Notamacropus eugenii: one gene and its partners. The protein of the gene in region 3 interacts with the protein of the main gene of each other region in a pairwise test. Links are inferred from orthologs where the notes say so. Each region holds a gene or a part of one and is shown on either strand. Other genes may lie near its edges.

Region 1 (3,746 bases), about 240 Mb from region 3:
GGACTTAGGAGAGGGAAGTGGGGCTTAGGGAGCTGAGATAGACCCCCAGTCTTCCTTTCATCTCTGTAGAATTTCCCGACACCCCCTCCGAGCCAACCCCAGTTCCCCACTGAGAATCTCGGCTACTCGCAGGTGTGGAAGGGCCGACCTCGAATCTCCTCGCTCCCTTCGAGTACCCCCACCTTAAGTCTTATATCCCGCTGTGCTGCCACCCCACCAGATGTTGGAATCTGGACAAAGAATCAACATCTGCAGACCAAGGGCTGCGAGATGGGGGGGGGGGGGTACTGCAGGAAGCTCATCAGGTCCTCAGAAACCCAGGTAAACGCCCCCTCCTACTCTAGACCCAGTACTTCCCCCTCCAGGCTCTGGCACCACAAAGTCCCCCACGGTGACTAGCTTGCCCATAGCCCACTGTCGCGACTCCGCCGAGCCACTGCGGCCGCCGCCGGGCCCCAGCGTAGGGGCTCCGGGCTCGGGACTCACCCGGCTCGGGTTCCCGCTTTGGCTCCGCAGCCTCTCTGGGGCCGGCTCTGGGTGTCGGATCCTGGGGGCTACTGGAACTAAGGCGCCGGGTTCCGAAAGTCAGAGAGGAACCGGCTCAGTCCCCGCACCGGCCCCGAGTCCGAGTGAGTCACGGAGAGAGCGCGAGCGAGTTATAGAGGTGGTGGTGGTAGGGGGTGGGACGGGGACGCGGAGACACCCTTCCCCCTCCTTTTCCCCCGCCCCCCCCACCCCCCCGCGGGGACGGAGAAATAGACCGAGCCAGAAAAAGGCACTGGTACACCAAAACCCGCGATGGAGGCACAGAGTCAACGCAAGTTTCTAGCTACCGTCCGGGGTGGGGGTGGGGGCAGTTGCACCTCCCGGGAGACAGAGATGTAGAAACAGAGACAGAGACACAAAGCTCTCTGCAGCTGGGGAGGTCTGTCATCTCTTCTTCTGACCTTTCCCTGGGTATTTTGCCTTCTCTTTGTGGGAACAGAATCTCCCCATCCTTCAGAGAGAAGAAACTGAGGCACATTGGAGCGCTGTTCCCGAGTTGCAGAGGGTCCCCGAACTAAACCGAAGAGTCTAGCTCTACACTAGGAGCTTTCCGAGTCGCACTCTGAGGGGAAAAAAACAACACCCCCCCTCCCACCAGCCCCACTCCTCAGCACCCTTTTTTCTGACACTGGCAAGATCCGAATCCAGAGCATGGCACTAAGGGAATGGATGGAAAGAAATGTCTGCTCCTTCCTCTTCAATCTAATCTTTGCTCTTAGGGGAGGGAAGGTATGAGAAAAAGAATCTCCGCATTAGGAAGAGGGGTTGTGGCAGGGAAAGTAGGGGAGGGCGAAGGATCGCCCAGTTACCTGTATCTGCAGAACTCGGACTCCGCTCAGGGGGCTGCAGCTCGAAACTCCGACAAGTCTCCAAGTCCAGACCCTGGGGGGGCGGCTGCCCCTGACATAGCGAGGCCAGGATTCCCAGCGCCGCCTGGCACCTCGCCTCCTCGGACCCCCCCACCCTGCTCATGCCCCGGACCCTCCCCCCTTCCCTGTTCAGTGCACTGTGGCTTTAGTCCCGTCCCGCCCAGCTCCCTGCAGCCGTTCCAGGTCCCCAGCTGCTGTCGGGCTGGGGCGGGACAGGGCGGGTCCGCAAGAAGACCCTCCCCCAAACAGCCCCAGGCGAGTCACCGCACTTGCATTTGCCAGTCTAGGCTTTTAACCACTTGTCTACGGGGTCTCCGCCCCTTAGTGAGATACAGACACCACAGAGAAATTCAGTTCCCGCTCGTCAGCACCCTCTTTACGTTTCAGTGTCTGGTCTGGTCCTGGTCGGAGTACTGTGTCATTGGGGAGTGGGTTGGAAAGAGGGAGAGACTGATTGATGCCTTGGAGGCTAAAGAAGTAAAAAAAATAAAGGGTGATTAAGTCCAGGACTAGTAGGATCCTAAGGGCATATCTTAGGAACCCAAGGCTCCCAGGTCTCAAAAAGAACAGAATTGAGGGAGGGGTTCGGGCCGCTGGGCGAAGGAAGTTGGTTAAACTTGCAGTATTTTTTTTTAATAAGAGGGAAATCTATCCTCACCCCAGGACTGTGGAGCGAGGAGAGGGACTGGGGTTCAGGGGCTTTTAGAACCCCGCAATCCGCTGGTCGCGTCACCCACTCGTTGCCATGGCGACAGAAGGCATCGGCTGTCTCTCTCCATGGCAACGAGAGGGAAAAGTTTCAGGAGAAATGGGCCGGGGGGGGGGGGGGGGGCGGGAAGAGACGACACTTCACCGGGTCGTCCTTTTTCAAGTCCGTCCCCCTCCCTCAGGATCGAATCGCACCTCATTTCCCACGTATCTTCGGGAAGCTTCACCATAAAGATGGAAACAGACCGAAAATATTACGGTAGGGCTTGAGGTTAGACAAAACGAAGAACTTCCCCACACAGTGAAGTGAGAGATTAAGCACCAGTTGAACGAATCTAGGACGTTTCCATCCATCTAACCCCTTCCCCTCTTTCTGGAGATAAATCTCTCAGCTCTGGAGAGATCTACTCTGCGGCTGCCTGACGGTGTGGGTTAGGGGAGGAGCTACTTTGTTCAGAGACAGGGGCATGGATGAGACGGTGCGAATCTCTTCTTCAACAGAGTACGATCCATTTTCTCGGAGTGGAAGCGAGGTCCTGTGCCTGGCATTTTAGCCATGGTCTTCACTTCCTTTCTTAGCGGTTGAAAGTCATTCTTTGGCGGTAGCCTCCGGAAGCCACGGGTTGGCTTGTTCCCGGGCTGGTTGTGGGAGGAGGGTCTTTACTTCTAATTAACACACTAATTGGAAGTGGCTCGGGCTGTGACTCACGTTCCGGAGCTTTGAGATTCTCGGCGAGGGCTTTTGGCGGTAACAACAGCACGCGCCATCTGTGAACCCCTTCATCCCCCACCCCACCCCCCACCCCAGGCAGACCCTTTTGAAATGTAGCTCTCCTCTGACTTTCCCCCACCCCCCCCCCATCAGAGTCCCCCATTTCCCAGCTGGCTATGCAGTCCCATCCTAGGGGGAAATAGTTGGGTTGCAAGGACCAGAGAAAAAGGCTTCATCTAGCTTTTAAGGTTTCTTGGTCCTCATCCCATTGGGGCCCCACCTCTGTCCAAGGTGCTGATGATCTCTCTCTCTCTCTCTCTCTCTCTCTCTCTCTCTCTCTCTCTCTCTCTCTCTCTCTCTCGCTCTCTCGCTCTCTCGCTCTCTTTCTCTCTGTGTGTGTGTGTGTGTCTCAGAACAGCATGGAGTTGAGTTCATAATGTGATTTGACTAGCTAGGTACGTGATAATTGGGAAGGGACTACCTTTCTGCCTTGGTCCTTAGGTATGGGTGACAGTGGCTGCGTGGGGTGGGGGGGTGTTGGAGGGTGAGGAAGGATGCGGAGGGAATTGAGAAACTAAAGAAAGGAGATTATGCTGCAGGAAGATAGTCAACTCTAACATACCCTGAAATCAGGGAAGTCTTCTTTCCTGGAGGGGAGATCTGGTGGCATTTTACTGTTTAAAGTCAGACAAGGCCGTGTGTGTGTGTGTGTGTGTGTGTGTGTGTGTGTGTGTGTGTTCGATATCTGGGAGTGTGACCCATGTCTCTAAGGCCCAACTAAGGTGTTAAGAGAGCTTATTTGTATCTCCTCCACTTCCAAATGCTAGCAATCCAGAGACAAGGATTCAGATGCTCACCGAGGTCTATCTTCCCTACTCTCCCCCCCACCCCCATCCCAGCAAACTGCTCAT
Region 2 (3,746 bases), about 290 Mb from region 3:
GAACTCTGACTCAGCCTAGCTGAGGAGCGGGTAACTCGAGCAGATCGCCGGGATGTCCCATCACTTTCCGAACTATCTGTATGCTCAATGTCTGTAGAGAAATCGGAATCTTCGGTTCCATCAGAACTACTGCCTGCATTCCTCTGTAATATCACAGATCCAGACATTAGCAAGGGAGCATTTATTCTTTAAATTTGCATTAATAACAGAAGTAAAACAGTATGTGATATTATAGTTACTTTAAGTATATAAAAATCAAAGCTCAGGTTATGAGCAATACTCTTATCAGCCCACAGTCAACTTCCCTGAAATTAGTATATTTCATTTAAACAATACATGGTCCTTTATTTAGTCCTAAGGTAAATAAATTGTGATTGCAGTATCACTGACTCTGTTTTAAGAAATCCCTGGGAAGATCTGAGCAACTTTACCATCAGTTTCACATTCTGAAAATAAAAACTACCAACTTCAAAAGGCTGGATTGATGTGACCAAGAACTCACAGGGTCAGGTTTGAGAAGAGGAATTAGTGCCAGGTTCTTTCCCTTGTGCCTCTAAAAACAGCTTTTGTTTAAGTCCCAATGTTACAGTGTCATGATGGAATCTCTCACTCTCTCTAAACATCTGTCACATTTGAAAGGAAACAGACATTAACTCAAATATATGAGAGCCCATGCTCTGTAGAAGAGCATTTCAAGGGAAAGAACGCAAGCCAAATTAAATAGGGAAATTCCTTTGCCCTCCCCATACTCTCTCCCCTTGAAGCTTCACCACATAAAGGTTAAAAGGTGCTCAAAGCACCTTTTTCACCTCCCTTAATTAGCATTTTCTAAATATCTTCATGAGCAAAAGGCTCTTCAAGATAGATTGCTATTTTACTAAGAGAACTAACACCATATTTGCCTCCACACCAGACACGCACTCACATGGATCAATGATCTCAACAATTAAATACCTAAGAAGCTATCGATCTTTTTCCAACTTGCCACCAAATCAAAGGACACTCAAAAATTTGATGATCTATAAGGCTGACAACCACCTCAAATTTCCCTTCAAACTCTAAGATGGTAGTATTTTTAAACTCAAATATACTTGTAAAAAATTTCGTAAAGAAAAATTGCAGAATCCATCACCTGCCTAGAATGCTTTCAGGGCAACACATCCAGAGGTTAAGTGAGGCAGTTTTGGGTCAGGAAGTACCTAATGTGTGACTTCAGTCAAATTAGTCTCTCTGGCACTCAGCTTTTCACGTGTAGAATAAAATTGGGTGGTAAAGTGCAGTGGTAAGAGTGCTGGGCCTGAAGTCAGGAAAAACTGAATTCAAATCCAGTCGCAACCTAGCTGTACGACCCTGAACAAGTCTTTCTACCTTTATCTGCCTCAGATTCCTCATCTGTCAAATGGGAATAATAGCGTCTATCTCCCAGGGTTATAGTAAGAATCCAATGAGATAGTCGTAAAGTACTTCACAAGGCTTAAATAATTAGATAAATGCTAGCAATGATGATGATAAGGATGGTGATGGTGATGATGACCAGGACGATGAACGCGTTGAGCTAAAACTTTAACTCTACTAGTCAATTTTCCAAGAAAGAGGTAACCTGGAGTTTGGGAGTTTTGCTCCCCCACCCCCAATACTGTAATAAGCACTCCCGCCTAGGCTGCTGCCAAGAGTCTTGGCATCCACATCCTGGGGAGGGCGGGGCACTCTCCTGGGGGGCAGATTCTCACCCCAACCTAGAACCCAGTCGCTTTGTTATGTCTTCCACCTGGGAAAGGATGAAGGCTCAATAAGCCCCGCCCCCCACCAATCGCCAAAGCGGAAGAGAGGAAAGGAAGTCCTCCCAGCCAATAGGCAACCCCACGCAGCTAATCAAGGGGCGTGGCCCCGCGAGACAGACTGCCGGAATCAACCAATCAGTGGAAGAGGAATCGCTGCCACCAGCCAGTCGGGGCCTACTAGGGCCGGACCGGCAGCCACCCCCGCACGCGGGGAGGTGACCGTTGGGCCCAGACGGGCGGCGTGGTCAGCCAATGAATGCGGCTCTCCGCATCCGAGTGACCAATTGAAATTCAGAAAAGGCCCCCGTTCTAACCAACCAGAAAACGGGAATAGTGCAAGCCAAGGCCGAGGCCCGTATCTTGCCCGCATTTTCCTGCCGGACTCGGGCAGAGAAAGTAGCTCCACAGCTGGACTGTGCAGTGCAGAAGGAGGGGATGCTGCCGCTACGGGGCGGGACCAGAGTTCATGCAGCGCACCAAGCTGTCCTCAAGAGCCCGCCAAGTACCCAGTTTTCTCTCACCTTCCTTCGCGGCATCACCGCCGGCTGCGGCCCGGCGGTTCCGACCCGGGCAGCAGCAGCAGCAGCGTTAGCTCCGGCGGGCTCCGTGGCGGCCTTTTTAACGGTCCCAACTCTTGAGGACGAGCCTAAGTCCCCTCCTGCCTCCCAGCGTCTTTACCCTAATGCGCAGGCGCTTCAGCCAGCGGCGCCTTTCCCTCAACTTCCGGCTAGGAATATGTCATGTGACACTGTTGACCCAAACCGCGGCCCGCGACCGTCCCTTTGGCGGTTGAGGGCGGCTCCCGCCATCTTGGACTTGGGCAAAAATTCCATCAAATGGTATCAGATATGGTAGCCATCTTTGATTGGTTAGGAGAAGGTTTGCTTGGTTTGTATAGTCAGCCATCTTTGTTTGGGGAAAAAAAAAACCTTTAAACAATTTGCCGTTGAAGTTCAAGTTCCTCTCATCCTTACGGTGGGCAGAGTTTGCCCCCTGGGTTTATTAATTTAATGGAGGCAGGAAGGAAGCCCTCTTATTTCCACCCACCCCACCCCCATTCACCCTTTATTTAACCCTTTTATAACTTGACTATAAAAAATGTGACGTTTCTAAAATAAGCTGTATTGAAAACCTATCGTTTACAAAGGAATCTAAATTTATAAGAACGAATCATTTCCTATTGATAAATGATCAAAAGCAAATTCTCAAAGGAAGAAATCCAAGCTATCAAAATCCACATGAAACAATACTCCAAATCATTAGTACTTAGAGAAATTCAAATTAAAGCAAGCCTAAGAATCATTTCACAAAGACCGGCAAAATCGGCTATGGTGGAGGGGCTTGGGAGGAGGGGAATAAAGTACATTAATGTACTATTGGTGGAGTTGTGAATTGATGCAGCCATTCCAAAGCAAATTGAAACAATACCCCCCAAATCACTAAACTGTGCATGCAATAACACTACTGAGTCTATACCCCCAAAGACATCAAAAAGAAAAAGAAAAGAACCTATGTGCACAAAAATGTAGGGGTTTCCTTTGGAGTGCCAAAGAACTGGAAACTCAGGCAAGTGTCCATTAAATCAGGGAAGGAAAAAACCTTATGATACAGGAGTGTAACAGATCACTACTGTATCGTATGAAATTAACAAAGGGTTAGTTTCAAAGAAACTTGATACAACTTATACGAACTGACGCAGAATGAAGTAAGCGGACAATATAACAGCATTGTAAAGTCAGCTTTGAAAGACTTAAGAACCCTGATCAGTGCAAAGAACCAACCAGGATTCCACAGGACCAGAAGACCGTATGCTAACTGCTTCCTGACTGAAAGGTGATGAAGTCAAGATACAGAATGAGACATATATTTCTGGGCCTAGTTAGCGGAGGAATCCATTTTGTTTAACTGTGTGTAGAGCCCTGGACCTGGAATCAGAAAAGGCCTGAGTTCAGACGCTAACTCTAG
Region 3 (3,746 bases):
GGAATCCTTGGACATGGGGAACAGCCCCTCTCCTTACCCCAACATGAAAGGCTGATGATCTGCCCTCACTCCCTTCTCCCCAGGGTCTTGACTGTGCTATTAACGAACCTCCCCACTCCCTGTCATCCTTCTAGCCCCTGCTTCATCACCATCACCTTTAATCTTCATTTCTTCTTCTGTCATCTTCCTAAGTCTGTTTGCTATCTTAGCTCCAAATTTTCCAATAAAGCACCACCAGCCCCTAGGTCCTTCCTGATCTCTAGCACGAGTTCAAGATCCCTTGGTCTCACTTTCAAGACACTCTTGGTACCTACTAGTATTCAAAGAATCCTTTGGAAGTAGGGGGAGGGAGTGGGCAAGAAAAGTCTTTTGGATCAGGATAGGGTCTCCCAGACCACCCTAGCCCTATATTCCCAGAAGCGCCCCCAGACTCAAGCCCCATAGAGTCCCTTAGCTGGCTTCCCTAGAGCACACGTCAATATATCTCTTCATCCACTTCCACTACTCCATCTTCCATCCACTCCTCATTTTCCTCTTTGGCTTCTTTCCTACAAATTGTGTCCATCAACAATGGGGACATGTCACCCTGGAAGTCCAGTTGGTGTTTCAAAGCCTTCCCCTTCCCCAAACTTCCCTCTTTCTGTTGAGGATTCTACCATTCCTCTACACCCCCAGTGTGGTTAGCTCACATTCAGCCTCCATCTTCCCTCTTCCTTTTAGGACATATCCAGTCAATTCCACCTCTAAATCTCCCACAACAGTCCCCCCCCTTTTTTTAAAATCCCGCTCAAAAGGCCCTCATCATCTTTGTCTCCCACTTTCCTAGTCATCCCATGCAGGTGCTAAAATCATGTTCCCCAAAACACAAATCCAATCAATGATGACAAACCTTCATGAGCCTTCCCTTCCCATGCAGGTGCTAAAATCATGTTCCCCAAAACACAAATCCAATCAATGATGACAAACCTTCATGAGCCTTCCCTTGCCATTAGAATAAAAGACAAACTCCTCATCTTGACTTTAATGCTACCCTCCTTCTTGTCTACTACATACCAACCAAGCTGGCCTACGAGCTCCATTTCCTACCTCTGGGCTTTTGTCCAAATTATCCCCATCTCTAAGATGCCCTCCTCCCTCTTCTCTTTTAAAACTCTTCTCTCCTTTCAGAGTAAGTTCTTCCAGTAAAGCCTTCCTGAATCCCTCCTCAAGAACCCTCCAACATATCCATGAACTAACTGATTCACTTGGCTCCTCCACTAATGCAAATCTCAATCCATTCATGCTTTCCCATGAATTCATCCTACTGGATCCCATCTAACCTGCTGAAGACCTTCCTCAATTTCTCAAGTGACCTCACATATTTAGGCATCTGTACCATTTACTGTCTGCCGTTCTATAGAGCAGAACAGAAGCCCCTTGAGGACAGGGGCAGGCTCCTTTTTTCTTTGTTTTCCTAGTATCAGGCAGACAGTAGGCACCTAATCAATGTTTGGTGAATTCAATGTCTATGTGGCCAAATTAGTCAAACTCCACTGAAGGTCCTGACCCTGCTGTCTTCTCCCAGGTGCCCTCTTTGCTGGCTCCTCTTGCTGCCTGGGTCAAGAGAACTGGAGGGGTAAGAAATGGAGACCTCCTGGGCCAGGGCAGGACCGTAATACTGGGAGCTGACATCTGCAGATCCGGCCAAGCACTTTACATGTATTATCATCTCCAGTGATTCTCTCTGTTCGAAGGGATGGGCCAGCCTGGAAGAAGAAGCTGGCTGGACGGTGAATGACCCCCTCCCCATAATTCGAGGTCTTCCCTTCCACAAAGCAGGACCCGGGTGGAGAAAGGAGAGAACCAGACTTGGGGACGGGGGGAGCGGAGGAGGCAGCCTATCAGGCCACCCCCACGGGGCCTCCTAGCCTAGCCCCCAGTCCCTTCTCCTGCCAGATTGAGTGGGAGCCCCTCCCCCATTCCCAGGGGAGCTGGGGGGGAGGGGGAGGAGGGAAAGGGGGGCCTCTCCAGGCCAGCTGCTACAAAACCTTCCGGCTGCAGCAACATTCGCTCCAACATTCCATCCCCTCTTAAAGGGAAAGTCTCTCTTCTAAATCCCCCCCCACCCCATGCTGGGCATTGGGGCTGGCTTAGAGCAAGAGTGTAGGCCCCGAAGGGGAAAGGGGGAGAGCCCCGGCCGGGCCTCCCGGAGAAAAGAGATCCTCCTCGCCGGTGGCTCCCGCCCCTTAGGGCTCCGAGCAGCCTGGAGAGGAGGAGCCCCCGAGACCCGCGGACCTGACCCTGGGACCCCAAAGAGCCGCCACTTTGGGGGTGCGGTGGCGGCGGCACCGCCCACCAGCCCGAAGTTTTGCTCCTGGCAGCCAGCTGGCACGGGTGCCCGGTGGGCACCGCCCCCCCCACCCCCCGGGCCAGGCCTGGGCGGAGGCCCCTCGGCGCTGTCCTGCCCCCGGGCTCCCCGCTCGGCGCCCACGCTCACCCGAAGTCGTCGTCCATAGACTTGAAGAAGAACTTGTAGGTGGGCCGCTGCAGGACGCCCTTGAAGTCGGCCAGGGTGACGCGCTCGGCGGGCAGGGGCAGCTTCACCAGGTACGGCGTCTCCTGGCCGTCCAGGTGGTAGATGATCTTGGTCTCCCCCATGGTCCCGGCGCCCTGGCCTCGGACCCGGCCGGAGCGCTGGGCTCCGATGCCTGCGCGGCGCTGCGCTCGGCGGCTCGCTCTCCGGGCCGCGGCGGCAGCGGCTCCCTTGTTCTGCGGCCGCCCCCGGGTCCCAGCGCCGCCCGGCCGCCTCCCCGCCTCCCCCCTCTCCAGCTTCCGCTCTCCCAATCTCCCTGGCTTTGGTGCCTCTTCCGGCAGCCCTCCTCCTCAGCAGCCCCGCCCCGGGATTCTCCGGTCACTGTCCCTCCGCTGCGCCCCGACCCCACGACTCGGCTTCCCAGCTCTTTAAAGGCGAGGGGAGTGGCCCTCCACGGCCCTGGCCGCTCTCCGAGTCTTTGTGAGCCCCACGGAGGCTTCGGGGTGGCCCCGGGTGTAGGGGAGAACCCGGGGATGGACTTAGAACCCGACGGACCGGGATGGGCCCTTCCGCCGCGAGTCCAGCCGCAATCACAGCTCCTCAGGGGCATGGCAACTGCCTCCGAATCCAAGGCCAGGGGTTCTGTTCCCACCTCCGATCTCAAGGTGGGGGGCCTTCCAGGGCAAGCTCGGAGCAGCCCGGTCATGGGCCAGGAGCGCTGCCGCCCAGCTCTTTACAAGGGGGGAACTGGCTAAGGGAGGTCTATCAGGAGGTGAAGACTTGGTTTCCTAGTCAACATAACTAAGCCTTGTCCTCCACTCGAGGTACAAATCCTCATCTTACAGATGAGAAAAGAGATGCTCAGAAAAAGTACCAGTGGCCATCTGACCAGCAGGCAGTCAGGTCTTCCATCCGGTGTTTGATAAGAATCAGGCCAGCAGGGGCATTCTGCCAGGAAAGAGGCCATAGCCAACTTCTCCATCTCCTCCACCAATGTTACAATTCCTTAAAGCCTTAACAGTTGGCCAGTGTGGGTCCAACCACTTGTCCCAGCTGCTTTCCTGAGGTATTCAGCACCATCTTGTGTCTCAAGAAATTATTGCCTTATGAACTCTGTGAAAGCGAACTTGATTCCAAGGTCCTCCTTGGACTTTTGCAAATTTTCCTGGCTTAGTCCTGTTCCTGCTGTCCCCTCCCCCGAACTCAGAGGCTTCCTCAGTGGGCAGCCCTCCCT

Evidence for each region.
Region 1: the proteins of DVL3 (region 3) and SYT6 interact in binary tests that used the Homo sapiens proteins (3 or more experiments, as listed by UniProt). The two-hybrid records come from large-scale screens. The link is inferred for Notamacropus eugenii from reciprocal best matches to the Homo sapiens genes DVL3 and SYT6.
Region 2: the proteins of DVL3 (region 3) and KAT7 interact in a two-hybrid assay, tested with the Homo sapiens proteins (2 studies listed by BioGRID and IntAct). The two-hybrid records come from large-scale screens. The link is inferred for Notamacropus eugenii from reciprocal best matches to the Homo sapiens genes DVL3 and KAT7.

Annotation. Positions count from the first base shown.
Region 1 is NC_092873.1:293,290,353-293,294,098, forward strand, and holds the start of SYT6 (synaptotagmin-6), read right to left. Parts: upstream 2,899-3,746; 5' UTR 2,319-2,898; intron 2,152-2,318; exon of another isoform or gene 2,074-2,151; intron 1,885-2,073; 5' UTR 1,519-1,884; coding exon 1,356-1,518; intron 669-1,355; exon of another isoform or gene 487-668; intron 1-486.
Region 2 is NC_092873.1:350,925,526-350,929,271, forward strand, and holds the start of KAT7 (histone acetyltransferase KAT7), read right to left. Parts: upstream 2,516-3,746; 5' UTR 2,318-2,515; coding exon 2,303-2,317; intron 144-2,302; coding exon 1-143. UniProt on the Homo sapiens protein: Catalytic subunit of histone acetyltransferase HBO1 complexes, which specifically mediate acetylation of histone H3 at 'Lys-14' (H3K14ac), thereby regulating various processes, such as gene transcription, protein ubiquitination, immune regulation, stem cell pluripotent and self-renewal maintenance and embryonic development.
Region 3 is NC_092873.1:57,205,983-57,209,728, forward strand, and holds the start of DVL3 (segment polarity protein dishevelled homolog DVL-3), read right to left. Parts: upstream 2,781-3,746; 5' UTR 2,638-2,780; coding exon 2,477-2,637; intron 1-2,476. UniProt on the Homo sapiens protein: Involved in the signal transduction pathway mediated by multiple Wnt genes.